Linked DNA regions of Drosophila melanogaster. The gene in region 2 interacts genetically with the main gene of each other region. Each region holds a gene or a part of one and is shown on either strand. Other genes may lie near its edges.

What was found.
Region 1: of mbl (region 2) and Galphas, changing one enhances a phenotype caused by changing the other (phenotypic enhancement), as found in Drosophila melanogaster (one study listed by BioGRID).
Region 3: of mbl (region 2) and CG31751, changing one enhances a phenotype caused by changing the other (phenotypic enhancement), as found in Drosophila melanogaster (one study listed by BioGRID).
Region 4: of mbl (region 2) and Dp, changing one enhances a phenotype caused by changing the other (phenotypic enhancement), as found in Drosophila melanogaster (one study listed by BioGRID).

What each region holds. Positions count from the first base shown.
Region 1 is NT_033778.4:23,940,707-23,947,444, reverse strand, and holds Galphas (G protein alpha subunit s), read right to left. Parts: upstream 4,908-6,738; 5' UTR 4,844-4,907; exon of another isoform or gene 4,631-4,843; intron 3,469-4,630; exon of another isoform or gene 3,216-3,468; 5' UTR 2,981-3,215; coding exon 2,705-2,980; intron 2,639-2,704; coding exon 2,542-2,638; intron 2,486-2,541; coding exon 2,365-2,485; intron 1,750-2,364; coding exon 1,621-1,749; intron 1,548-1,620; coding exon 1,368-1,547; intron 1,309-1,367; coding exon 1,184-1,308; intron 1,008-1,183; coding exon of another isoform or gene 999-1,007; coding exon 925-998; intron 845-924; coding exon 698-844; 3' UTR 509-697; downstream 1-508. Other genes in the region: orcokinin, read left to right, coding at 105-354; Taldo (transaldolase), read right to left, coding at 5,431-6,205, 6,265-6,388.
Region 2 is NT_033778.4:17,263,691-17,268,545, reverse strand, and holds the start of mbl (muscleblind), read right to left. Parts: upstream 3,029-4,855; 5' UTR 2,335-3,028; intron 1-2,334. UniProt on the Drosophila melanogaster protein: Required for terminal differentiation of photoreceptor cells. Vital for embryonic development.
Region 3 is NT_033779.5:18,675,223-18,683,246, reverse strand, and holds the start of CG31751 (uncharacterized protein), read right to left. Parts: upstream 6,027-8,024; 5' UTR 5,775-6,026; intron 4,532-5,774; exon of another isoform or gene 4,409-4,531; 5' UTR 4,394-4,408; coding exon 4,086-4,393; intron 3,617-4,085; exon of another isoform or gene 3,543-3,616; coding exon of another isoform or gene 2,148-3,542; intron 2,093-2,147; coding exon of another isoform or gene 1,289-2,092; exon of another isoform or gene 1,172-1,288; intron 983-1,171; coding exon 858-982; intron 803-857; coding exon 1-802. Other genes in the region: tos (tosca), read left to right, coding at 1,289-2,092, 2,148-3,542; Mst36Fa (Male-specific transcript 36Fa), read left to right, coding at 6,315-7,009, 7,075-7,238, 7,290-7,681, 7,739-7,984.
Region 4 is NT_033778.4:13,220,784-13,228,255, reverse strand, and holds Dp (DP transcription factor), read right to left. Parts: upstream 5,824-7,472; 5' UTR 5,211-5,823; coding exon 5,144-5,210; intron 4,666-5,143; exon of another isoform or gene 4,596-4,665; intron 4,082-4,595; exon of another isoform or gene 3,794-4,081; intron 2,935-3,793; exon of another isoform or gene 2,845-2,934; coding exon of another isoform or gene 2,790-2,844; coding exon 2,632-2,789; intron 2,566-2,631; coding exon 2,505-2,565; intron 2,448-2,504; coding exon 2,318-2,447; intron 2,255-2,317; coding exon 1,921-2,254; intron 1,853-1,920; coding exon 1,617-1,852; intron 1,557-1,616; coding exon 1,474-1,556; intron 1,411-1,473; coding exon 1,327-1,410; intron 1,271-1,326; coding exon 1,086-1,270; 3' UTR 511-1,085; downstream 1-510. Other genes in the region: Fsn (F-box synaptic protein), read left to right, coding at 6,087-6,394, 6,452-6,816, 6,880-6,974; CG17059 (uncharacterized protein), read right to left, coding at 7,353-7,472. UniProt on the Drosophila melanogaster protein: Component of the DREAM complex, a multiprotein complex that can both act as a transcription activator or repressor depending on the context. In follicle cells, the complex plays a central role in the site-specific DNA replication at the chorion loci.

The DNA.
Region 1 (6,738 bases), 6.7 Mb from region 2:
GCTATACCGGCAGCCAAAGTGCCTGCTTGCCCGCCTATTTGCCATTACTCACTGAACTCACTAATCCCCTTCCCAATCACTGAAACATATGCCCTGATCCCCAGATTGATTTCGGCTGCCAATGGACAAACGGTCGTCTGCTACGAGTGCAGCCAGTCGGAGTTCAAGACGAAGTACTCGGTGAAGCAGTGCGCGGCCGGCAAGATCGGGTCTGGCCATCACCGGGACCTGGTGCCCTACCTGGTGAGGATGGACCCCCTGTACAAGGACACCTGGAGCAGTAAGCTCAAGCGGAACTTCGACGAGATCGACAAGGCCTCCGCCAGCTTCAGCATCCTCAACCAGCTCGTCTAGTGATACCTTCGACAGCGCGTGAATGTAAATGCCCATGGATATGGATACGGACTCTGATAGCGGAAATACTCTAAAATGCTTCATGTCAAGGGACTATAGAAAATAAAGCAGGTGCATCCTGGTAGAATAGCCAAAATAATCGAAACAAGCGTGTCTGTTATTAACATGTTTATTTATTATTCTTTAATGTTGAGTTTTGTGAAAGGTCATACCAGATCTAAATGCAGCGAATTTTTTGTTTTAATCAAGGGACTATTTAAATACAAATTACATTTGATAATTATATTTAAAACAGTAAGTCATTAATATTTTTATTTACTTGCATTACGGCGATGGGGATAACCTATAACAATTCATATTGACGAAGGTGCATCCTTTGAATAATGTCTCTGCAATCATTAAACACACGTTTAATGTTTTCTGTGTCAACGGCGCATGTGAAATGTGGATAGCAGTAGTGTTTTCCGTCTCCGCTAGCGGTAGATATACGCTATATAAGAAAGAGATCCCATTAAGGATTAAGGCTAGTTAGATAGGTGGAGGAAGAAACGGAGATGTGATATAACCCACCAGAAACTCGTCTCGTATGAAATATTTTGCTCGTATTACTTCTGGGTCATCATTGGATTCCATTATTGCGTCACCTGTGTCGACAGCACATTTGAAATTAGACAAAATACATTATCCATTAAATTTCTTAAGTTAACTTGGGCACGGTTTGCAAATTTGAAAAGGAATTGCGAATTTCTTGGCCAGATCTGAGTCGGTTGATCTGATGACTCCCTCGCCCTCAATTGGCCTCTACTATGGGTTATACTATTTTACTTACTTGGCGTTTGGTATTTGTTAAACTCGGAGAAATATTCCGACAATTTACTTTTTCCAGCCTTAATTTTCTCTGCTAACAAATCTTGCTTATTTAAAAATAGTATAATAGAAATCGTGCGAAGCCATCTGAAAGAACAACTCGTTAGTTTCCATTTGTCGAGATGGCGCCAAATTGCTCGGTTCACCTGTTGTTCCAAATACTCTTGAACAAATCCAAAGATTCTCGAAGTCGGTTCTGGGTGGGATCTTCCCGCAAAACCATGTTATAACTTGAGCACGCAGTTACGAATATGATAGCAGTTACATCATTGAAACACTGAATCCATTTCCTACGCTCGTCCCGCTGGCCACCGACATCGAACATGCTGCACGCGAATGCACATCATTAGAATGGAATAGAAACTAAAATATTGCGATATCACTTGGGATTACACTTACTGAAAGTTTACTTTGTCCACTTGAAATCTTGTTTCAAATATTCCAGAAGTCAAAACACGGCACCGAAGAATATCCTGCTCATTAGGGGTGTAGTTTGGATTCTTGATTGTGCTCACTCGGTCCAGGAAGCTTCAAAGCAGAATATCAAGTGTAGAAGTAAGTACAAATTCGGTTTCAGTGCCTTAATCAAGCTTAGATACAAGTACAAATGCGGATTAGCTGGCATAAACTACGGAAAATTGGGACTTGGTGTTTAGCAACTTGTTTCTTCGGGGAATTAAACAAAAAGCCTTCTCAACTTGGAAAAGTATGATCGTTACGATACTTCTATGTGCATGGCGTAGTTGGTACTACTTCGACTACTAGCTCCTTTTAAGAATTGGACTCATTCTAAAACCCATATATTGTAGTAATTATTGTACAGACAGACAGATATGGAATGCGAAAGTAGGTTTAGGTTGTGGTTCTACTTTCAGATAGTCATACTGCAGCAAAGCGACGATATTTAAAGTTTACTTCATCAAGCGGATTACTTGTTAGAATTAAAAGTTGCATACTTTCGATCCAACGCATTGAATTTCTGCACTTCCAAGTGAAACACATAGTTAAGCTTTCAGAACAATTGGCATGCACTCCGAGATGAATTAAATTAAACAATTAAATCTGTTTGTAGTGCTACAAGAACTATTCGTTTGGCTCAACACATCGATGGCAGGATGTTAAATGTGGGTGGGCATTACTTACTATTTCGCACAATCGATTAATTGATACTCATTCGACCTCTCATAGGTTTGAAGAACGCCCTTGTCTTTCCATAGTTCTTCTGTATGTTCATAAAATTCAGGAGGATAATTAAAGTCCGGACCTGCGGGGCAGATAATGGTTGATAACAACTTAAGTTGGGGCGGCAGAGGCTCTTACTAGATGCATAATCCTGAATGTACTCCACTCTGGGTTCATTTTCCTTCTTTTCTAAAGCTACAGGTGGATTAAGTGTGCTCATGGCTCCTGTAATAGTCTGTAAGGGATTGGCAAGGAGTTAAGCAAGTGTTTGGGCTTAGATGGCCGGCGGGATGGAACTCACCAAGATAGCGTCTCGAATATTCTTTTTAATATCATCAATTTTCTGTTTCTTTTCCGAGTCAGAAAATCCGTCGACATGCAATATTCGCATTTGCTTGACTATGGTTGATTTGCCGGACTCGCCCGCCCCCAGGAGGAGCAGCCTGTGTGTGGCCCTGTAGAGCTGTTTGTCCTTCTGCAACTGTCTAGATATTGCATCGCTCCGGCGCTTCTGGCTCTTCGAGTCCTCCGAGTTCACGTCCGACTGCTTGGAGGTGGGCGACCCAAAGCAACCCATCGCAGCCCACGGGGTCCACCAACACGTCGCTCGGTTTTCCTGGTTCGCGTCGGGCGACTCGGCACCCCTTGTGCTTTCTCCGTTCTGCTCCAGTATAGCTGAGTGCTTGGGTTCCTCGGATCAAACCACAATCCCTTGTGTGCTCGTCGGTCTCCGGTCTGCGATCTCCGATCTCCGATCTCAGTGGCACCACCGTTGGCGTTGGCTCAGCGCTTCAGTGGATCTCTGCAGCAGGCTGCATTCGTACAATGGTATAGTAGATGGAAAAATGAGTAACAGAACTTTCAGAACTAACGATCCTCGAGCTTTCTATTCCCACTAACTGAGATTCTCCAGCAGAAACCCATTTCGATTGCATAGAATCCCGAATCCACTTCAGTGCCCCCATATCATCCGCGTACGCGCGAGTGTAGCGACCAAAATGGGTGCCTACTAAGCCAAGGCGACGCCGCTGACATTGCCGCCCACGAAAGTCCCGTGAGTCACTGGGTTTCGGGTCCCAAAAGCGCTCGCATAGCATCGGAATCGGAATGAAAATCAAAATCAAAAATTACTCCACGCAACGCGCGTTCATTCGCGTTGGACATTCGCGTCGGACGATTGGAATTCATCACATTCATATTCACATCCATATTCACAGCCATATTCACATTCTCATTCACATCGACATCCACAACATCGGCGTAGTGTAACAGGTGAAGAAGGGGGCGGAGAGGGTGGCACTCTCGCGCATACTGGGCAGCAGGTACGCATGTATATAGAGATACCAACCCAACATAATTCCATCTGCAGTTGAGGCTCGAATGGAATGGATGGGTCCGATACGCGGATTCGGATTCGATTAGCTCGTATGTGGGTTTACGGATGAGTGTAGGCACGCGAATATTAAGAGTATTTAATCTAGCAATTATTGCCGACCGACGGGAGTCGCAGGAAGATGAACGTACTATACCCTACACATATACCTATATAGGCGGAGGGGGTGGTGGCAGATATGCCAGATATGGCAGATATGCAGATTTTAATGTAAATATATGTACATAAATTCATCGGCATCGGAATCGGGATCTAAGCGGGCACGGACACGGACACGGGCACATATATATCTCACAGATATGAGTACACACCGTTGTGTATCTACTCGTATATACGTGCGTATGTATTTAGATATATACACAAGTTCTCGGTTCGCATGTGTGAATGGATGGATGTACATAAATAAATGTATGTACATATATCAATACGTAGTGCTCCGTGCCTCCGAATCCGAAATATTTGCCATTTCTTTGACACTTGGTTAGAAAAACTATATTATACCTATACCATCGCGAATCGGATCGAATCGAATCGAATGGAATGGAATCGCATCGCAACGCATCTGCTTGGATTGGTTTGGATTCGAATGGATTGAATTCGATGGATGGGATTGTATTTTGGATATTCATGCGCGAACGATTTTTCACTGATTTCAGGTTTAAGGACATGGGACGCAGGTCGCAGGTCGCAGGACGCAGGACGTCCGAAAATCGGGAGGTCGGTCGAGATCGAGGGGCTGCAGGGGCGAATCACATCTCTGCGCGATGGCAATTACGTGTGCGAACGCGACTATTCCCTGCGTTCGACAATGGTTATTGTTTACCGTGAAATTACCGAACATTTTTATTCATGGGAGCAACTTCGGGCCAAGACTATAGGTGCACGACTCGGTTGGGAGCGACTTTTGGGGTCTGAAAAACAGGCAATTCTATCGCACCCGACGCGCCAGCCACTGTTTTCCGGATTCCCAATGTTCTTAGTCTCTGTGTGCTCGCAATTCATCAATTTGTAGCTTAAAAATTACTTTTAATACCAGTACTAACTCACTTTTTATATATTTTTTATTTTATGTATCAACCTAGGGATGCAACGAAGTAGATACTTTTATCGATAGTCAGTCTGCCTATCGGATAGTGCGGGCGGTGATGTAGATAGATATGTTACTGGGCCAAAAACATCTATGCCAAATGACGATGTGCTATTTTAGCGAATATTAATAATAAAATAAAGTATCCCGAGCTATGTAGAATAGCGAAATCCAGAAACACCCGTCCGATACTTTACATAAGCAGCCGTCTCTACAGGCTTACATAGATATTCTACACGGGCGTGTAGAAAACATGTTTGAAGTTGTTATGATAAGGTATCAAAAAAAAAGTATCTTTATCTGTGATATAATTTGCAAATTTTATTTATTTTGTAAACTTTTAGTATTTATTATTCGTATCCATATCTGCAACGAGTAATCATGCTATTTGCATGCCAAACCTATTCACCCATTTAATAATTTCCATAACTCCCAACTGAATCTTGTCATCTCTTTTAATTGTAGTGTTTATTAAAGTATAAAATCATTGTCTTTTTCAAAAACGAATGTATTCATCCTCCACCTGCTAGCGGACCCAGAGGAACATCTACTTAAGATAGGTCTTAATCAAATTCTCCAGCTTAACAGTATCCACGGCGAACTTCCTGATGCCCTCGGAAAGTTTGTCGGTGGCCATGGCGTCCTCGTTGAGCAGCCAGCGGAACCGGCTCTCATCGACGGTGATCTTCTCGATGTCCTGCAGCTTGGCGTTGCTTACGGACAGGTAGGTGACCACCGACTCGGTCTCGTTCTCCAGCTCCTTAAGCAGCGCTGGGCTGATGGTAAGCAGATCGCAGCCAGCCAGGGCCTTGATTTCGCCCACGTTACGGAAGGAGGCGCCCATGACCAGGGTCTTGTAGCCGAACTTCTTGTAGTAGTTGTAGATGTTCGTCACGGAGATCACGCCCGGGTCCTTGAGCGCCTCGAACTTCTTGGTATCCGTGTTGGCCACGTACCAGTCCAGGATGCGGCCCACGAACGGGGAGATGAGGGTCACGCCGGCCTCGGCGCAAGCCACGGCCTGTGCGAACGAGAAAAGGAGCGTCAGGTTGCAGTGCACACCGTGCTCGTTCTCCAGGATCTCGGCCGCCTTGATGCCCTCCCAGGTGGACGCCAGCTTGATCAGAATTCGCTCCTTGTCGACGCCCAGGGATTTGTACAGGGCGATCAGCTTCAGGGCCTTCTCCACGCTCTTCTTGGTGTCGAAGGACAAGCGGGCATCGATCTCGGTGGAAACGCGACCGGGCACAACCTTCAGGATTTCCGTTCCGAACAGCACGCACAGGTAGTCCATGGCCTCGGCCACCTGCTCACTCACGGAGCTGCAAACGATGGTATTCTATGTAGCTTTGTGTGGCAAACACCCAAGTGAACTGCTTACCCCTTCTTGCCCTTGGCGTATTCCACCGCCTTTTGGACCAGCGGCTGGTACCGCTCCATGGACGAAGCGGACAAGATGAGGGAGGGATTAGTGGTGGCATCCGTGGGCTTATAGATGTTGATGGCTGGAAGCAATGTGTAAAGTATTTGCATAAGTGCGGGGCCAAATTACATTGCGAATTTTAGAAAGACCTCGAAACCTGTTGAGCGACTTTCATTTTTCAATCGCCCGACCGAAAATATCTTTGAACTTTTCAAATGTCTGAGCAGGTTTGGCACTCTGCTCCGAAACCTTATCTCTGGTGGCATTCTATAGTACACTTTACTATAGCGGTCACATTTCTAACACACGTAAGCACCAAAGGTCAAACTAAAGTCAGCTCGGATTTGCTTTTCACTTTTATTTGATCTTCACTGCGGCAGACACGACGGATCCGATGGCCCGTCGTTAATGTTTATCTTTTGGATAAATCCA
Region 2 (4,855 bases):
AAATTGTATTGTTTTGAGCTTTCTAGCGATTTAAGGCTAGACCTTTTTATACCTTTCGTCTGAACTCTGACACCTTTTCGAGTGCTGTCATCTCGCATCAAAACTGAAATCGCGAGCCGAGCAAACAAACACGGACATATACAACGCTATTTCCACACTTTCGACAACCGAAAGGGGGTGTTCCTATCGATATTTACGACCTATTGAGAAGAGCTTAAAGCACAAAACCCTCTTACTACAAGTCAAACACATATTTCTCACAGCGACGTTTTTTCTTGCCTCGTCTTTTTGTACTGCGGCATGAGTTTTTGGCGAAAAATCGAATCGATTAGTCATGCCAAAAGTCCTCAAGTTTTCATACCAATCCCCTTCACCAACAAAATATAAAACCGTCTTGTGGCATTCGTGGCGTTTTGTAGTTATGGTTCGAGTTTGATTTTTTGAGTACGTTCGGAGGAGAAAAAGTGAATGACTTGTCAGAGTGTATTGAACAAATGGACAGAAATAATAATTCATTTTTGGCATTTTCCAAACGATTTCTTTGACTCATATTTCTGCAGCAACACATTTTTGACACTTTTGTTGATGATGATGGGTAAAAATGAAGAGTAAAAATAAAAACGAAATGTGTCAAACTTTTGCTTTTTGTTTTCCAGTTGCCAGCGGGCAGAGCTAATTCAATTTGCATATCTGAACTGGAGGAAAACGAAACAAATCGGAAAAATTATAATAACAATCTTTTTGCAACTGAAACCGAAGCTAGGACCGAAATAAACATAAATTTAATGGTTACGACTTGGCAAGAGCGAGGGGTGTGGGTTTTTAGGTGGAGAACCACATAAAAAACGTGACTTTTCGTTAAAATAAAATCTATGTATTTGCATGTGCGAGTACAGTGCGTTTCGGGATCGTATTTCCCATTAATTCGTCTCTAAGACCCTAAAATGAAATCGATTTGCAGTGTCAGAACAAATGCGGTAATTGAATCAGTTTCGTTTAACAAAATAATCACATTAAATTTAAGAATCATGTCTGTTTTCTGTTCGGGTGTCTAAGCCCATTAAATATCGTAAGCTTTCAAAACAATTTGATTTAGCCATTAATTCCGTAATTGCCTGTTTGCAGGCGTTTTGTTTTATTGTCACGTGTGTTTCTTTACAACTGGCTAACAGTGTTGAAACGCACAGTAAAAATCGCTCGACTTAGATGTATTTTTTTTTTCTCCATTTTGTTTGTTTAATAGTCTAGGCCTTGTCCGGCTTTAGAATAAAAATGGCTAAATTTGCATTATATTACAACGCGAATATTTGTAGTTTTTACCGTGCTTTTAAGTTAATTAACTCCACAGATGATATATATTCATGTTAAGCTGTTAGGGCGCTTTCGCAAATAATGTGGATATATTTAACGTATTTAATGCCCAATAATGTGGAATAACCATTCCCATTTTCACTCTGACAAATTTGGTTTGCAATTTGTTGAATTTTAATTATTATTTCACAGTTCATTAGGCTCAATTTCAATTTGATTTTCGGTCATTAAGCTTTACCAAGCCAAGTGAACGAGATGTGCATTATTTTAACAGATTAAGCAAGTTTTTTTTAATGATTATAATACACTTATTAATGCAGAATTTATATTTTTGGCCGTGTAAAGTAGTTTGTTTTCAATAATAAATGTATATTTGTGTATATTGCTCCGTACTTTTTTATATTTTTTGGCCTGAACAAATTTGGTAAATAGAATTTTGTTGTTAAATTATTTAAATCAAACAATATAAATTAGCCTCCGATATATATGCATATGCATCTCTGTAATATTGAATACGTCAATGTTTCTGCACCTTATTCAGCACTAAATAGACTCTAAGTAAGTGACTTCTTTTGCAACACTGTAATTATAAAACACTACCAATGAGACTTTATGTATGTTGAAATTAACTTTTTTTTTTAAACTTTAAATACCGAAGTTTTATTGGATGGATACTACACTTTAAAACTACATACACCTTATTAACTTTGAAAAACATTAGTTTCCTTTACGTTTACTTATGTTAATTTTCTCCCATTATTTCTTCTTCTCCAGTCTTGAGAACAACTTTCCTTACAATATTAAGTTTTCCCTGTCATGAAACAGAATTTCCGACTTTTCACTTGGCATCACCGAAAATTCGACAGCAATAACAAACAAGACCACGAAATGTGGCAAGAAAGGGAAGAGACAAACCGATGGATAGAAAAAAAACATAAACTTAAGACGAAGGCGAAAAAAGAGAGAAAACAAAAGGAAAAAAACACAACGATCTCTTTTTTTTTTGTTTTTAAGTATAAACACCTTCGGTTGTCCAGCTGACTTGTTGTTGTTGCTGCTGGCGAAGTTGAAGTTGTTGAAATTGTTGTTGTTGGGTGAAAAAGCGGCTGCTGTTTTATTTTCTTGTATTTGTTTATTGTTTTACTTTTACGCCGATGGTGAATTGAAAATGTATTTTTAACCTTTTTTTCTCGACGCTCCGTGGTGTGTGTGTGAACTAAACACGCGCGTTGTTGCAGAAGCTGTTGTTATCGTTGGTTTTTAAGATGCCGGCTAAAAACAATGGATTTTGCGATTTTTCCGGACAATTTCCCTGCAGCGCTTGCACTATTTTTCTTGAATTTTCACGAACGACTTTCGACAACTTCTTTTTTTCTCCTTTTATTATCTGTCACACACAGAAACGAACACACGCAAACACTCTTACTGAGCACCTCACATACACGTGCACTCGCGTTGTTGTTTTTTTAGTTGTATTTTTGACAAATTTTTCCGCGTTTCTAGAGTTGTAGGCTAAAACTTTTTTGATGACGGCGTTTTGCAGAATTGTGATTATTTCTGTTTGCGGTGACTGAGCAGAAAGTATTGTGTTTGTTATTATTTAGCTGAGAGCTGCTATTTCTTTGATGGGGTTTTCTTGAGTTTTTCAGGCAGGCTCTGGTATAATTCACTTTTCCGCTGACAGAACCGCTTCCATCGAAAAATTTTTCGAAACTGAAAGCAGCAATATTTTTCTGGTCATTCCATTCCAATTCGACTCGAAACTCTCTCGCTCTCTTTCACTCTCTGCCTGTCATTCTCTTTCGCTTACGCTTGCACTGTGGGGCAAAAAACCACATACTGTGGCATTTTAGTAACTTCAAAACGTTGTAGCATATAAGAAGTGGAAAAGATATTCCAATTTATATATTATTTTGTATATTAGTGTATAAATGCTTGACTAACTCTTTTCGTCAGCTTAAATTTTATAGGTGTCAACTGTTGCAATCAAACTGTCAACCCTCCATTCAGTACGAAAAAGTGTTTGTTTGTCCCACAGTCCGACGAGCTCTCTTGTGTGCTCTTAAAGAGTACTTTTATCCAATGAAGAGAGTTCGAGTGTTTTTGGTTTTGTTGATTACCGAGGGGGGTTTTTAGGGGTTGCCGAGTTCAATGAAGGCGAGTCGAGTTGACAATCAACTAAAAGGTTAACTGGCCAAAAGTAGACAGACTTAAGCTTTTGGCGTAGGTTGCGGACTATAAAATAGCCTGGCAACTAATTTTTGCAAATCGGTGACTAAATTAACGGTAGAAACTAGATAATGTATTTTTTGTGGCTCTCTCAAGCCTTCGATAAATCTTTTTTTTTTAGGTGATAAAAAAATTTAAATGTGTAAAACTATAGATAATAATAGATAATAAATATGGACATATAAATAGACATTTTAGGAATTTTAATTTCTAAAAATCTTTACAATTTTGACACAAGTGATTGGGCACGTTATAATTATTTAGGGCTTATGTATATTATAATTATTATATTATAATTATGCTTAGTGTCATAAATTTGCTTTGATGATTTTCTGTTCATTTTAAGTCGTCAGCTTAAGTACGTACATATACAAAACAATTATCTTTTATTTTTGGAAATTTTCATTATTTTTGCTAAGACCCCATTAAAAAAGGTTTTTTGTAAATCTTGAATATGTATAAACCTGCACCTTAAAGAATATAATTATTAAATTATTTTTAACAAAAAACCATTTGTTCTACTTATTCATGCAATGGCCAGGTACATTTTTGAAAAATACCATTGCTCTAATTGTTCACACACCGCAATGATAATTAATGTTTGCTTGCAGTTTCCATTTGGGCCTAAGGACAGAAATAAGTGAACTTAGTGAATTGGAACTTTGTTCGCTCTGTCAAAGTCACCTTCAAAATGTGTTCGATATGTTCTAAATCATTTACGTAAATGCATCCCATCCATAACGGTATAGCTATATATCCGAATGCAGCCCAGCGGGCCAGAAATAGAAATATGTAACGCACACACACAGCCACAACTCTTGACATTTCTATGTCATAAATTTGTTTCGTTCTTTGGATTTTTTGGCAACAAAAGATATGGTCCTAACACCCCCCACATGGCAATTAAAATATGTGGTGTAGGCGTGGAAAGGGGGGAATACCACTAACGCACACCATGCACCACTCCGTGTAGGTTAATTGTAATAAAAAGTGAATGTAAGCGATTTCAAGAACGAAAAAAACGAAGTCCAACGAGAACTGGCATGTGAAAGCCAAATCCATATGAAAGGGGATAGAGAGAGAGAGAGAGAGCGACCCGACCCGAACCAGATGCAGATCCAGATCGAGGAACGCCCCCGCAATGATTTTAGCTCCACTATACGGTGGATATACCCCGCCCCCACCAGGATTTGATTTTTATTATTAGAAGTCCATCGGTGTTTGTGTGAGTTCACTATTTTTAAACGATTTCAAATTGGAGTTTTTGTCAGTGACCCGAAAGAGAAACAAAGATCGCTAATGGAGCTCGGGGGCA
Region 3 (8,024 bases), on a different chromosome or scaffold from region 2:
AAGTACTGGTGTCCAGTGCTTGCCCACAGCTCATCAATATCGTCAAAGCTCTCGCGCCACAGCTTCTGAAGGAGCTTCCATCCCTTTTCCTGGGTCACCAGGAGGTACTCATTTGTGGGATGCAGCGTGTGGGTGTAGAGTCCCATTACCAGGCTCTGAACAAATCGGGCAGTAACACAGTACTTGAGAAGGGCCAGCTCGGAATTCTCAATTGGGTTCAGACTGGTATAACCGGACAGAAATATGCCACCATTGGCCAAATCGTTGGCCTGCAGTATCATATAAGTGAGGGCAATTCCAATTTCGAAGATCAGTGGCGATTTGCTCGTATCACCGAAATCAATAACTCCCTTGATGGTATATTCAGTTTGATTGGGCACCTGCTCCACCACTATATTTTGTTCGTTGAAGTCCCCATGGATGATCTGGTGCTCCATGGATGGCAGTTGGCTCAGAACCTTGGCTTCAAAGGCATCGATCACCTCGTCGCAGATAAGCCGCTGCTCCTGATCCTTCACCACGTACAGGAATTGCCTAAGCTCGGGAACACTCTGAAGCATCCACAAGGTCTTGTGGCTTTCATATGCCTGGTGGGTGAAGTTCTTGAGGGCTCGATCCAACCTGGCCAAGTATTCGCCGCTGCGGTAGAGCAGGTGCTTCGTCACCGGCACCTGGTGGAAGATTTCTCCCGGTATAAATTCCAGCAGTCGCACCACATTCGAATTCCCATTCAGCCGTTCCACAGAGTAATACTTTCCTGTTGCATTGGCTACTGGTCGTGGGCATTTCACACTGTGTTTTCCTAGGGAATACGATTGCATTGTCAATTTGCTGATGATTTGGCTAGCAATTCTTACCCAAGTAAAGCAGCATCTGGTTTTGGGCATCCACGAAGTCCTCTTTCTTAGAGTCCAGTGAGTTGAGGATTTTCAGGACGTATCCGTGTGGACAGTGGGTTACAATGAGGGGGTTCTTAACATTACTGCAATACGGAAATGTATTCAATAGGAAATTACTTATCTTAAGGAGTAAATAAAAAATGAGGCATAACAAAGCGCCACATTCATAAAAATACAAAATAATATCTGTTAGAAATATTGAATTATTTTTAAAATCCAAGTGTTGGATAATGATAGACATATGCGTTCCATGTGAATGGCAATTCGAATTTTTTTTATAGCATCGCACTTTGGTCACACTGATGCATTGGCAATTTTGGCGCTAAGATCCGCAATTTTATTAATTGTTTATTTCGTTTTTATATGTGTTATTGTTGTTGGTCCTAACCATGGGCATTACCGGCCTAATTCCCTTCGTGGGCAAGGCCTCCTCGCAGCTGCATCTAAAAGACATTCGCGGCAGCACAGTGGCCGTGGACACATATTGCTGGCTACACAAGGGAGTCTTCGGCTGTGCGGAGAAGTTGGCCCGCGGCGAGGATACGGATGTTTATATACAATACTGCTTGAAGTATGTGAACATGCTGCTGTCCTACGACATCAAGCCCATTCTGGTCTTCGATGGGCAGCACTTGCCGGCCAAGGCTTTGACCGAAAAGCGGAGAAGGGACTCCAGGAAGCAGAGCAAAGAGCGGGCGGCGGAACTCCTTCGATTGGGTCGCATCGAGGAGGCCCGATCCCATATGCGACGCTGCGTGGATGTCACCCACGACATGGCGTTGCGGTTGATCCGGGAATGCCGGAGCCGGAATGTTGACTGCATTGTGGCGCCCTACGAGGCCGATGCCCAAATGGCCTGGCTGAATAGAGCAGATGTGGCCCAGTACATCATCACCGAGGACTCGGACTTAACGCTTTTTGGAGCCAAGAACATCATATTCAAGCTGGACCTCAACGGCAGCGGCCTGCTGGTGGAGGCGGAAAAACTTCACCTGGCCATGGGCTGCACGGAGGAGAAGTACCACTTTGACAAGTTCCGGCGCATGTGCATCCTATCCGGCTGTGATTACCTGGACTCACTGCCTGGCATCGGACTGGCCAAGGCGTGCAAATTTATACTAAAAACGGAACAGGAAGACATGCGAATAGCATTAAAAAAGATTCCAAGTTACCTCAATATGCGCAATCTTGAGGTAAGTTAACTTGCGGTTAGGTCTGAATTGTAAGACTAATAATCCTTTAATCCAGGTAGATGACGACTATATTGAAAACTTCATGAAAGCGGAGGCCACCTTCAGGCACATGTTTATCTACAACCCGCTAGAGCGTCGCATGCAGCGGTTGTGTGCCCTCGAAGATTATGAAACTGATGAGCGCTACTGCAGCAATGCTGGCACCTTGCTGGAGGATAGCGAGCAGGCTTTGCACTTGGCCCTAGGCAACTTGAACCCCTTCTCTATGAAGCGACTGGACTCTTGGACACCGGAAAAGGCATGGCCAACGCCGAAGAACGTGAAACGATCCAAGCACAAAAGTATTTGGCAAACGAATTTTCAAAGCGAAAACACTCACACGCCGAAGAAAGAAAATCCGTGTGCCTTGTTCTTCAAAAAAGTGGATTTTGTGGGCAAAACTCTAAACGAGGAAATCGAAGCTAATCAGCGACTGGAACAGGCTAAACAAACGGAGGCCGAGTTGTTTAACATGTACAGTTTCAAAGCCAAAAGGAGGAGAAGTCCGAGCAGGGAAGATTCTGTAGATCAAGAACGTACACCTCCTCCGTCGCCGGTGCACAAAAGTCGGCACAATCCATTTGCCAAGGAAAGGACTGGAGAAGAAGCTAATCAGCGATCCCCAGTAGTTTGTGAGAATGCCTCTTTGCTGCGTTTGCTTAGTCCGAAAAAGGCAAGTCCGTTGGATGGAGAAGCTGGTGTAAAAAAGGTTGATTCGCTTAAAAGAAGCATATTCGCCAAGGAACAAGTTCAGATCCGAAGTCGCTTCTTCGCCACGCAGGATGAACAGACAAGGCTTCAAAGGGAGCACTTAAGAGATACGGAAAATGACGATATGGATGAGCAGAAGCTGAGCTCTCACTCAGGCCATAAGAAACTAAGACTAGTATGTAAAGACATTCCAGGGAAGAACCCAATAAGACAACGTTGTAGTTCACAAATCAGTGACGGTGAAACAGATACAGATACCACAGCCTCTTCTCTTTTGGAATCACAAGATAAAGGTGTTCCTTCGCCTTTAGAATCCCAAGAAGATCTCAACAACTCTCAACCCCAAATACCAACTGAAGGCAATACCAATTCAACAACTATTCGCATTAAGTCACTGGATTTACTTCTGGAAAACTCTCCGGAACCCACTCAGGAATCCGACAGGAACAATAATGATGCCATCATTCTGCTATCGGACGACAGCTGTAGCTCGGATCAGAGAGCATCATCTACCTCATCCTCCAGCCAGCAACGCCAGAACTTTTTGCCAACCAGCAAACGAAGAGTGGGGCTGAGTAAACCCTCCACTGCCAAGAAGGGCACTCCTAAATCTAGGACGAATGGAAAACTGGGTGCCGTGAGCCAGAATCAAACCAAGCTCAGCATGTTTGGCTTCCAGACGAAACCTGTCCTCAAATAGATGGCTCTTCTAGATTGTAAGCTTTTTGTTCTCTAGATTTATCTAATTTATTAAAGTGAAGAGCTGAACTGACTACATCAGTGCTGAATGCCATGAATCCATCAAGATAGCAATTGCGATGCTGGCAAGGTGACTGTCGACTGCGTCACACTCAACTGCCGCGACTAACAACTTTAATTAAACTGGGTATAAATAGATGCTACATACCGCCGCATTTCTCCGGCTCATTATTATTTGTTTTCGTGTTGCACAGTCGTACTACGAACAGCAGCTAAAATTGCAGTCATGTCAAAGCACAGAAAATATGTTGTGTTGATGCTTTAAAGGAGATATTATTTCAAGCAACGAATTCTTGTGTTTACTATATAGAAGACTAATCCTGATCTAAATGATATATTATGATGTTTGAAATTGCCTGTGCTAATAATCTGACTGCAGCTGTATGAGATGCTTACGCTGAACTCCCATACACGAGATAAACCTCCGGATGTGGTGCGGGATTGGGAAAGGGTGTCAGCGAGATACTGTCATCGCTTTGCTTACCTATCCTCCTTGACAAAGAAGTTGCGATCGTCGTAGGCGACGATTTCCTTAACCTCGCTTATCGTGATCCCGTAGAGGCGACGCAGCAGGCTCTCCACGTCCTCGGGCTCCACTTTTGGGCGCACGTCCGATCCTGGCTTGAGGAGATCGCCATCTGCAGCTGTTGATTCATCGGCACTGGTGCCATTGCCATTCGAGGACTTTGCCGTGTTTTCCTTGTTCAACTTCTCGGCGGCATCGTAGGCATGATTCAGGGTATACGACTTTTTGGACATGTTCGTCAGCTCCACATTGTTCCACTGCTCCATTTTATTTTTGGGGCTCTATCGGAGACGCAAAAGACCAAAGGCCAAGAAACCGTGAGTAAAAAAATATCAGTTAGAAGACGAATAAGAGCAGAGGTGGAAAATGTTTTCGGTTGCGCGTTCTCCAGCGAAATGAATTGTGTTTCAGTTTGCGTCTCAATTGAAACGAGTTCGTCGACGTCTTCTCCATATCTTTTTCGCCAGTTTGTGTGCGTTCAAGTACAGTCAAGCCTCGTCTATATAATCCACAATCTTAAGTTAATAACAATTTACAATAAGGTCGAGTTTTAAAGAGCAACGTTTTTAAAGTAAAGCTTTAATTTTTATATAACATCTTACTAGCTTTTCTTTTTAAAGCCTTTACAATGATTTTTAGTTATTTTTTCTGAGATTCTTATGGCGAACCTTTGACTGTAGCCAATTTAGAGCTAATTAATGATTACAAAAACAGAAATTGTGTTTAAAGGCTAGCCAGTTTAAGCATTAAACATGTTTTTTTCATTTCAAACATAACGTTTTGGTTAATTATGTTGGAAATTTAAGGTTTGAGTGAAAAATTTCTCTAGAGTTGGTATTTTTGTTATGCCAGGGTCGCCTTGATCTGCTTAGAATTACACCTCGCCGGTATCTGATTAGCGGGTTTCGACTGTATCTGCGTAAGATTCAGTCCCGTGAGTTTTTTTCCATGTGGGTGAGTGTGTGAGCTTCTGTCGCCACTTGCAGTGTTAACTTGGCTATTTGCTTAATTGCTTAAAGTCGGACGAGCCTTATTTTCGACATTTTTCGGTGCTTATCAGGGGGACAGTGGTTTCCCAACCGTGGCAAAGCAAACTGTCAGTCGTGATCGGCTTTGGTTAACGTTCCAGTGGAAACCACATCAATTATATGGCGCATAAACCGAACAGATCGCAGGGATTAGAGGCACTAATATGGACAGAAAGAGGGAAGAGCAAATACCTTTTTCAGGTCATAAATTCAAACGTCAGTGGAAAGGTTTTCAAACCCGTACCGATCGATGATAAGCAGGGCAAATGGAATATATGCATGTAAATATTTGGGCGGAGAGAGGCGATAATAATTGAATTTAAATGTACATAAGCGAGCAGCTATCGAAGTTTGTCAATCAAGTGCCAATTACTGACCTTGACTCAATTACAGTTTATTGCTCATACGCAGTGATGTACGTAACTACGGTTTCTGGGCTCACACACACACGGCCACAAGCTCCCACTCTGGCGCACACACACACACGCGCAGCTGTGGGTAATTAAAAGCCAAATATAGTGTGCATGTGAGAGACGCAAATATGCACAGCTGACTGCTAATCAAGCACATAAACAAGCCGCCGAATACAGAAACAATAGACTAAGACAAGCTTATTTACCTGGTCACGGAAAATGCACCTGAGTCTCCGAATCGGAAAAGTGGCCAACTAAACTTAGCAACTGAGCGCCGCGGATGGAAACTGGCCAAGCAGAGGAGAGTCGATTAGATTCGGTCCCACCTGTGAGATTGCTTATGTAAACTGACAAGCGGAGCAACTAACTTTGATTAAAACAATAAACAACACTCGAAAAACAATGAGTAAAAAGAATAAACGAACGAACACATTCAAAAATTCAAAGCAATGTGCAGCCGCGTTGACATGCGAATGGCTAGAGCTGCTGCTTCTATCCACTGCCTAATCAGCTGTTTATTTGTTCGCTTTGCAACGACGCTTGCCAACACTAAATGGCGGGGGATTTGAAATTTATCACCATAAACGATAATAACTCCGTGGTGTGGAATTCAATGCGTTGTATTTAGATTTCACCATCATATGATGGTGTACCAGCCCCTTTTAACATTATTCCTAGAAATGATACTCACAAAAAATACTTCAGAATAGAAAACATAAAACAAAAATAAACAAAAAACTCTAAAAATGCCCCATAAAAAGACGAAGCATTTGAAAGCCGTGGTACCTGGCATGGTTAGTCTCGAAGGAGAGCAATTTGACTCTTGGGAAATTCCCTTTCCCTTGCCGGAGCAAGAAGATCCATCAATGTGCCGAGATGAGTTTCTCAAGGATCTGATAAGGGAGCACGAGTCCCGAGTGGCCTCATTAGTGGTTAGATCTACAGTGCGGGACGTTTCGATAGTCAAGCGGCCAGTGGAGCTCCAAGACACAGATGTAAAGGAAGCCGAGGCTATGGTGGTGCTGCAGATGGCCCAAAAGCGCCAAAGAACGTCCGTAAGGAGAACAATGGAGGAAGTCATAGCCAGCATAAGATTGAGGTCCACCATAATAGCAGATCTCATTCGCCAAGTCCAAAAGGCGGCCATCGAATTCCTATCGGTTCGTCTGCTCAGACAGTTGCGACTCTTCTCGATGCCCTGGCCAGGCGATCTGGAGGAGACCCCAAACAATCTGTTCAGCTGGTCGTTGGATGACTTCTTATTGCGACTGGACGTAAAGCAGATCTACCTTGATGTCCTCAATCGGGAGCGAAGTGTCAAGGATCTTGATTGCGTTAAGTTCTGCAAGGATCTCAGCGAGATCGAACACCTTATACACGAAATTAGAAGAGATTTTCGAGACGACGTAGACCTCTGCGAAAATAGCCTACATTTGTTAAAGTAAGGGTGTTTCGATTGCTTTGTTTAGCTTTAACTGCGACATTGACATATGTGTTCTATTGCAGAAATGCCCAATACCACATGAATGCCCCTTGGGTAAAGAGCCTTAATGATAATATCGAAAATCTGGCATCCAGTGCGTCAGTCGCTTTGCTCAATGAGCAAAGTGGCTCCTTGACGTCGTTACGTCGTAACTCATCGGCAATGATAGTGTTCGAAAGGAAATCAGGTGAGTGGGGTTACTATGAGCCATATTTGGAAAACTCATCTTCTTCCGCAGCCCTGAACCCGATTGAAACGCGATATCAAATCAACTGGTTTAAAAGCTGTACGGATCAGCGTCTGACCCGGATGAACGAAAGAAATGTGGAGATAAAAAGAGAGCTACAAGACCTGGAGGTACAAGCAGTGCAGGATGAAAAGGTGCAGTATTCCTCCGGACTCATGTATGAGTTGGAGGTGGGAAAGCTTAGGGAAAGCATTCGAAATTGGCAGGACCGACTTGATACCGATTTGGAACACGCCGACGTCATGTGCACCGTATCAAGGCTTGCACTGCAAAAGCTTAAGGACGACCTAAAGTTTTACATGGAACAGAAGGATATGTATCTTCAGCGAATCAAAGAAGTGCAAGCACTCATAGATCAGGAAAGGATGATTCGCGAAGAAAGGGTAAGTCTTGGCAGAGAAATCGAATTATGGAGTCATCATTAGATGAAATGTCACTAGGAATTAGCCGCCTTAAAACGAATGTCGAGGGGGTCTTTAAGAAAATCTGTACCAAAGTCTACAAAAAACTTTCAAAAGAAGTCTAAAGGGAAGTCTGAAAAGAAGTCTGAACTGAAGTCTGAAATCAAGTCCGATACAAAGCCTGAAATGAAGACGGAAAGGAAATCTGACATGAAAGCTGAAAGAAAATCCAAAACGATGGCGGAAAAATCTCAAAGAAAATCCACAAATTCTAAAATGGAATAGCATATCCCTTATTTCGGCCCATTCTACTTATATATGTTTA
Region 4 (7,472 bases), 4.0 Mb from region 2:
TTGGACTTATTGCTTGGGTTGGGTGCAAGCAGAAGGGAGGAAAAGATTAAATTCTCTGTTTATCATATTTTACAATATGCAAATTACTTCTTTATTAACTTGTCACTCGGTTCGATTTCGTCTCACTTGTTTGCAATTTCCTTTCCATCCATGCAATTATTTCGTTTCATTACACAACTACATGCTCGACACTTAATTGTTAACGCCTTATACTTGACTACTAATTTGTATTTGCATGCTGTTGTATTCACTTGAAGAGGGTTCAATAATATAAATACAAATTCTGAAAATGTATATCGTGTTTTAATTGTTATTACTAATTAGGTAGGTTGATTATTTCGCAACTATCTGCACTCCCTTGTCAACTTAAAATTTGGGTTTTGAGAATCTAAAAGAATCGCTTTGTCAAAGGGTGTTAGCAAATTAAACATATTTCATATGTTCGCTCTTGTCTGCAGTTCAAACTGCTCGTGGCATTCTAAAAATAATTGCATTTCACTGCGGTTGTGTACAGTTTTGGTATATTATATTATTAAGAGACAATTACCCATAACATTATCGCTTTTGCTTAAGCCTACCCAAACATGAAAAGGCCATTGGGGGGAAAAGGGAGACTGATAACAACTAATTAGAGAGTGAACATTAGTCTGGGCATGTGGTTTCGCGGTATTGCCTTATGTGAATTGTGGTTTGAACTAAAAACGCGTTCTCCTTAACTAGACAAATTATTTTAAAAACGTTTCAGCTTAAACATAAATCTTCAATGATACAATTACAAACTGTGTATGCAAACTACACTTACATACATGAACTACCGAATCTTTCTCGTCGCTGCGAGATTGTATATATATAATTTAAGAGTCTCATTGAGAAGTAAACAAAACCAATTGTGTGGGTGGGTCGGATTGGGTGTGGAGTGGATTGGAGTGGAGTGCGGCTCCTGACTAACCAGGGGGCCGTGGCAAACCTAACAAAGCGTTGATAAACGTAAAACTAAACGTGTCCTCCGCATCAGCATCTGCTCCTCCATCCGCATCCGTGTCCGCATCGGCCATGGCTGGCACAATGACGGCGGCACCATCAGCTCAATCAATGTCGTCGTCCAGCTCGTCATCATCCATCTCCAGCTTGAACTCGCCATCGGTGGTGTGTTGTGCCGAGTGTTGTGCAAAGCCCTGGGACTCATTGGCCGACTCCAGGTACCCGTTGAACTCATTGTCCTCGTCATCCGATTCGTACATATTTTCGCCAGTCTTGCCGGTGCCGTAGGCTGGGCCAAATATAAAGTTTAATAACAGTGAATTGGAAGACAATATATGGTCATACCTTCTACGTATTTGGCAAGGTTTGGAGGCACCCACGACTTGACTCGTTCAATGTTCTCCGGCGTGCATTCGCCCTTATCCAGTCCTGCAGGTAATAGCATATGCAATGAATTTCTTATCCCGAATGCCCAATATTAAACACACTCACCCAATAGGAATCCCATACGCTTGAGCACCTCAATGTCATCGTGCATTTCGAAGGTTTTGTCGAACTTGAATATGTATTCGGACCTGAAACGATATATGGGAAATAGAATACAAGCCATACTCCGACTGAGTGTGAGCGCTCACTTGTCGTTGGTCACACTGCAGTTGATTTTCGTGGACTTGTGCGTGTTCACGATGATGAACGGTAGCTGGATCGAGGCATTCGGGGAAGGCACCACGCCTTGGCTCTCGTTTCGCTTGTTCCGCTCGACCAATCCCTTGAACGCCACATGCTGCATGATCATTTCGCGCAACATTTCGTTTTTCTGTTTTATTCGCTCGCGGCGCTGACAGTTTTCCTCTTCCAGGGCCAGAAATGTCTATGAAAAGGGGACAAAATAATCACATTAGCATGGAGTTTGGTGCCTTTGGTGAACACAAGTCCCACCTCTGTCGAATTTGCGGGCAGTCCTATCCAGCGAATCTCCTTCTTGTCCTTGGAAATAACATTGATTGCCATCAGTACGTTGAGCGCATCGTAGACACGACGTCGGATATTCTTTTGATCACAGTTGTTGTCGTACGCATTGTTCTTCATCTCCTCGCTGACCAGGTCGTCGGCCACCTCATTGTAGGTGGTCTTGCCCTTCTCCTCCACCTTTTCGCATACCTTCATCGAGAAATGGCGCAAACCTTTGCCTGCCTTGTCCGGCTTGCGTTTCCTTTGAACGGACGATGAGGAGGCCGACATGGAGTGCAACGAGTTGCTCTGAATGGCATGGCTGTTTGGGAAGGAACAAAGCTATAGTATCCTCCTCGATCCTGCTCGGTTGGTTACTACTTACAGTTTTGATTTCATTTTTATGGGATTTGGTGTAAACTTCACATAGCGATCTCCCTTCAAGGGCAAGTCGTAATGACCACTGCCAGCACCCGAAGTCTTTTGCGCCGAAACGGTGGTGTAGGTGGTACCTGCTACAATAAGGGATACAATGATTAATTGAAGTGGTAAGAGGAGGATCACACGCTTACCTTCTGTTTTTGGAATGGACAGTCCGTTGTCCTGCAGTCGTATAAACTGCCCTTGACTGCCCTGCGTTTAAATCGGATCGTTAGGTACTAAGTGTAAGCAACGTGAGCAACCGCGTTCTACACTTACCATCTGACTAAAGGCGCCCATGCGTCCCACGTTGCCGATGCCGCTAGCACTTCCGCTGTTGCGCGCGGATGAGCCGGTGGCGTAGACCACCGCCACGGGCTTACCTCCCTCCATTTCGGACTTGTTCTGGGCCGGCTTCAGCATTTTGGATATTTGTCCTGCAGAATTGGAAATTGGAAGATGCGGAGGTTCCTTAGTTTCCGATATACACATAACACGCGACTGAAATGCCGTCGTTGATAACAAAACTGCATGTACTCCACAGACACACACATGGGTGTCAGAGTGTTAGCGAGTAACTGAATGTATGTGTGGTACTATCAACGATGCGTTTTTTCGCCGTATATACGGTGAATTCATCGCAGCGAAGTGAAGAGAATGGAATGGAGCGAGTTAAGCGCACTGGAGTCGGAATACAACAACGAAAGGCGAGCGGCACATTAAGATTGGGGTGCATACACACATACACACAAGGTATACCCACACTCACGTGCTGGTGGTGAGTGTGCGTGTGTTTCAATCGGTGTGACAAGGATACAAATGCAGAAGCATAAACAACCCGAAACCAGATCGCCTGGACATTAGTGATGGCAACCACGTGACCCTTAACCAATTAGAGATGGTTCGATACTAAAGTTCGTGACTCGACAAGATTGTTGATCAGTCATTAGTCGGATTAATCCAAGTTCGAATATAATTTGAATTAAATATAGTGCGATTATAGGTTTCCCATTAAAACTCACAATTCGACTTTTAACTGGAAAGACAATAAATCAAGCAGAAGCCTAAGCAGAAGAAAAAGTAAGAGCAAATATGATACCGGTTAGTATTTTTAAAAGCGTGACATTTCAAATCACTGTTCTTAGTTGCGTTCTTTAGTAAATTTTATTTACTGCTAATTTGGTATATCCAACACTATGAGCACTTCCATTCCAAAGCAACTATAATATCAAGGCAGAATTAACCGGAAACCCATTAAGACTACTCGGTTGGCACCCCTGGGTTTCGTATCCAACCGGCTTTTCTAAACATTTCCAGTTTTAGATGGTATTCATTCGATGTAATAATTGTTCACCTGTCGCCAGCCCAATATTTGCATAATCATAACAACAAAGCAGGTGGACAACGCATAATGGAGATGAAGATGCCCAAAACAAAAACCGCAAAGGGTCGAGCGCTAAAAATACCTGCCAACTCTCCCGCACCCACGGGCACATCACACGCACACACACCTGCAAGTGAGTCAGACTCACGGGGGCTTGAGCAGCGGACACATGCGAGAAAATGCCGGACTGTCCCACCAGATGGTAACGATGGGAGTCTTAAACTCGGCGGGAGTTATCCTACAATGCCTAGGCAGAGTCCCAAAATGCAGGTGAAACCATAATCCCTACAATTGGAGAAGCAGTTCCATAGTTCGTCTGCACCAGTCAACCAGCAGATAACTACAAACCAGGTAACTCGCTGGTACGAACAGGCTGATATACTGGTCTATATAAAGCGTTTATGCGCGCTTCATATTCAACAAAGAGCAATATCACTGATTAAAAATTACTATTTCTTTACATATTGGGGATTAAAGAGACATTTTATACAAATAAAAGCACGTCATAAAGCTATCCATATCTTCTTCTTTGCTATCATGACTGAATGAAACTCATGAAGTTAATCAGTTCAGTACTGCGGGGTACGGTAAATACCGCATAAACGCGGCGACGGACAACTACACACGTGTACAGCGCTTACACCTATTTGCTCTCGCCTGTTTTGGGCTTCAGCTTCGTGGCTGACTACGTGTGTGTGTGTGTGGCAGTGTTGTTCTTGCTGTGGCCTTTTTTCTCTCACCCCGATCTCTCTTGGCGGTGCGCCCCGTCTCTCTCCCACTCGCTAAGATATGGCAGAATGTCACGCTGTTCAGATACATTTGTTTCAAGTTGAATTTACAATGTCCCTCACAATAATACCTTTGTACGTAGCTGAAATCAACGATTTATCACTACTTCACTTCATGCTAAATCCTCAAAGCGAATTCGCAGTGGCGGCGAAGTAATCAGCTGTTCGCCGCCCAATGAAAAAACAAAAAAATAAGTAGGAGAAAACGCGCGCGTGCTAGTGTGCGTGCATGTGTGTGTGTGAGCAAGCGCGCCAACTGGGCGATGGGCGTAGATGGCAGAAGGGGGCGGGTCTGGGTGGCTTACTGATATAAGTTGTTATTTCGCGGGGGTCTCTGTCTTTTATTATTACTTTTTGCCAATTTCTAGCACTCTTTTCGGTTCGTCTCGCTGGCCTCCCCCCGCAAAGCGTATCAAACGATGAATACGGTAGGCAAAAGAAACCCGAAAAAGCAAAGATGGCGTTTTACGCTGCCCATGCAACTTTGTAGCGTATCTGTGTGGGTCGCCTTGTGTATGAGGGGGTGTGTGTGTATGATGGACTATAGCGGAGGGAGGGAGTGCACTCACTCCATCGTGAGCAAAACTCCTATTACAGGACACCGCTTCCGCCCACTTACCGTGCTCGTTCCGGAAGAAGAAGTTCACCTCATCGGTCTTCACCGTACCGCCCGTCGAATGCGCCATTTTTCGGCCGCCGGAGATCAAGTGATCTTGTTGTTGTCGCTTACCGCTCACCAGGTGGACCGCCAAAAACAAAAGGAAAGAGCAGTGCTACGTGCCGTTTCGCCGCAACGTGTGTGCTAGGGGGGGGCAAATGGAGCTGGAATGGGCGACGGCGGTGGATAGGCGGACGTACTGCACCCACGGACTGGGGCACGTGTGCAAATCCGGATGCGGACCACGACCACGACGACGACGACTGCAATGGGGAGCGCACTTGTACAAAAAATAAGTGTCGCCCAAGTCAAAATGGCGAGCGCATTTTTCACTTCCAGCGGCAGGGCATTTTTTTTTTCTTTTCTGCTGCTCACACACACTCACAGCGGCGGCCCTTTTTCGGTGGCCTTTTTCGCGGTGTTTCGGCGCACGGATTTTCACGAGATTAGTGGCAAAAGATACGGCGAACTTTTAGCTATCGAACGGCTGGCAGCAGCGCGAATTTCCGCAATTTCTAAGCGCAACAAAATGGTCACAAAATTTCCACCAAGTGGCTGCTTTTCGTTTTCATGTGGGAAAGGCAAAGCAGGCTGTGTGCGGGTGCGAATGAAATGGCAGACAGTGCGCGCCAATTTACGCATCAATTTACGCAGTGTTGTAAGCAGCTGTGTGCGACAGTCGCTATCGCACACTGGTCGCGGATGTAAACAAAGTTGCCACTTTGTCCAGGTGAGCGGTATTTCGCTGGCAGCCCGCCAACGGTCACCCTGAATCGCAGAATATTAAAGTTTTCGAGTTTTATTTTTACCCATTTGGTTGGTGTGGGAAAATGACAATCAACAGGAACGGGTAAATCCAAGCAGCTATCTACACGAGCCCAGCAGCGGAGCGCACACGCACACAATGGTCGATCCGGTGGCGGCGCTGTGCAATTACAATGTGCTGGAGGTAATCTTCTCCTACCTGGAGCTGGACGACCTCAGTCATTGCTCGCAGGTGTGCAAAAGTTGGTACCACTTCCTCAACGACGAGAACAGCGACGTCTGGCGCTGGCACTGCCTGAACAAGCTGCCCAAGGAGTCCCTCAAATCGGACCTGCTGGCCTCCGTCTCCACGTACAAGACGAAGCTGCGGGCCTATTTTCACGCCTGGAGCCCCAACGACTGTTCGAGGAATGTGTACATTAAGCCGAACGGATTCACCCTGCATCGGTAAGGTATTCGGTTTGCTTGAGTCGGCGTTATATGTATGTCCCTCCATTCCCGCAGCAATCCCGTGGCGCAGAGCACAGACGCGGCCCGGGGCAAGATAGGATTCCGCCACGGTCGTCACACCTGGGAGGTGATATGGGAGGGACCGCTGGGCACTGTGGCCGTCATCGGCATATCTACCAAGGAGGCGGCTCTACAGTGTCACGGCTATGTGGCTCTGCTCGGCTCCGACGACCAGAGCTGGGGCTGGAATCTGGTCGAGAACCACCTGCTGCACAACGGCGACATGCAGGGCAGTTACCCGCTGCTGAACAATGCTCCCAAGTACCAAGTGGGCGAGCGGATACGCGTCATTCTCGACTGCGAGGACAACACCTTGTCGTTCGAGAAGAACTACGAGTTCCTCGGTGTGGCCTTCCGGGGTAAGGGGAAATAGTTTGGTGATACCAGCGATACGAACGATTCTATGCACTTTCACCTTGCAGGCCTGCCGGACAAAAAGCTCTATCCCACAGTATCCGCTGTCTACGGCAATACCGAGGTCTCGATGGTCTATCTGGGCACGCCGTTGGACGGATAGCTTTGCAGAGGGCCTACAACTTGGTTAACAACTTCCACGGATCCATTAGGTTATTGTGTACATTTGTATTTATCTCAATTATGATTGCTTCATTCCACCTGAAACTCAGTTCGATAAATTTAGTTAATAGTTTCGTTTTTTTGTACAAAATTATGCATTTTGTTGATTTACGCTAAGCCAAAGTTCATATCCACCTCGGCACTATCTCACATGGCAATTTACCTTAGTTATACGAACCAAATGAATATAATAAGCGATTAAACAATAGTTGAAGCAATTTTTTATACACCAATGATCGCTGATTGTGCAAGTAAAATTACAGACAGAAGAACGAGTCGCGAATACAAATCTTTCAATCCATTTATTGCGTGGTGGCCTCTACTGTTTCCCATCGGTTTTCATCTTGGCCCAGTTGTCTTCATCGAACAGATCATCAAAATCATTGTAGAAGTCAGCGTGGACGTGCTTATCGTTGGAGGGCAGGTGGTCCATCATCAT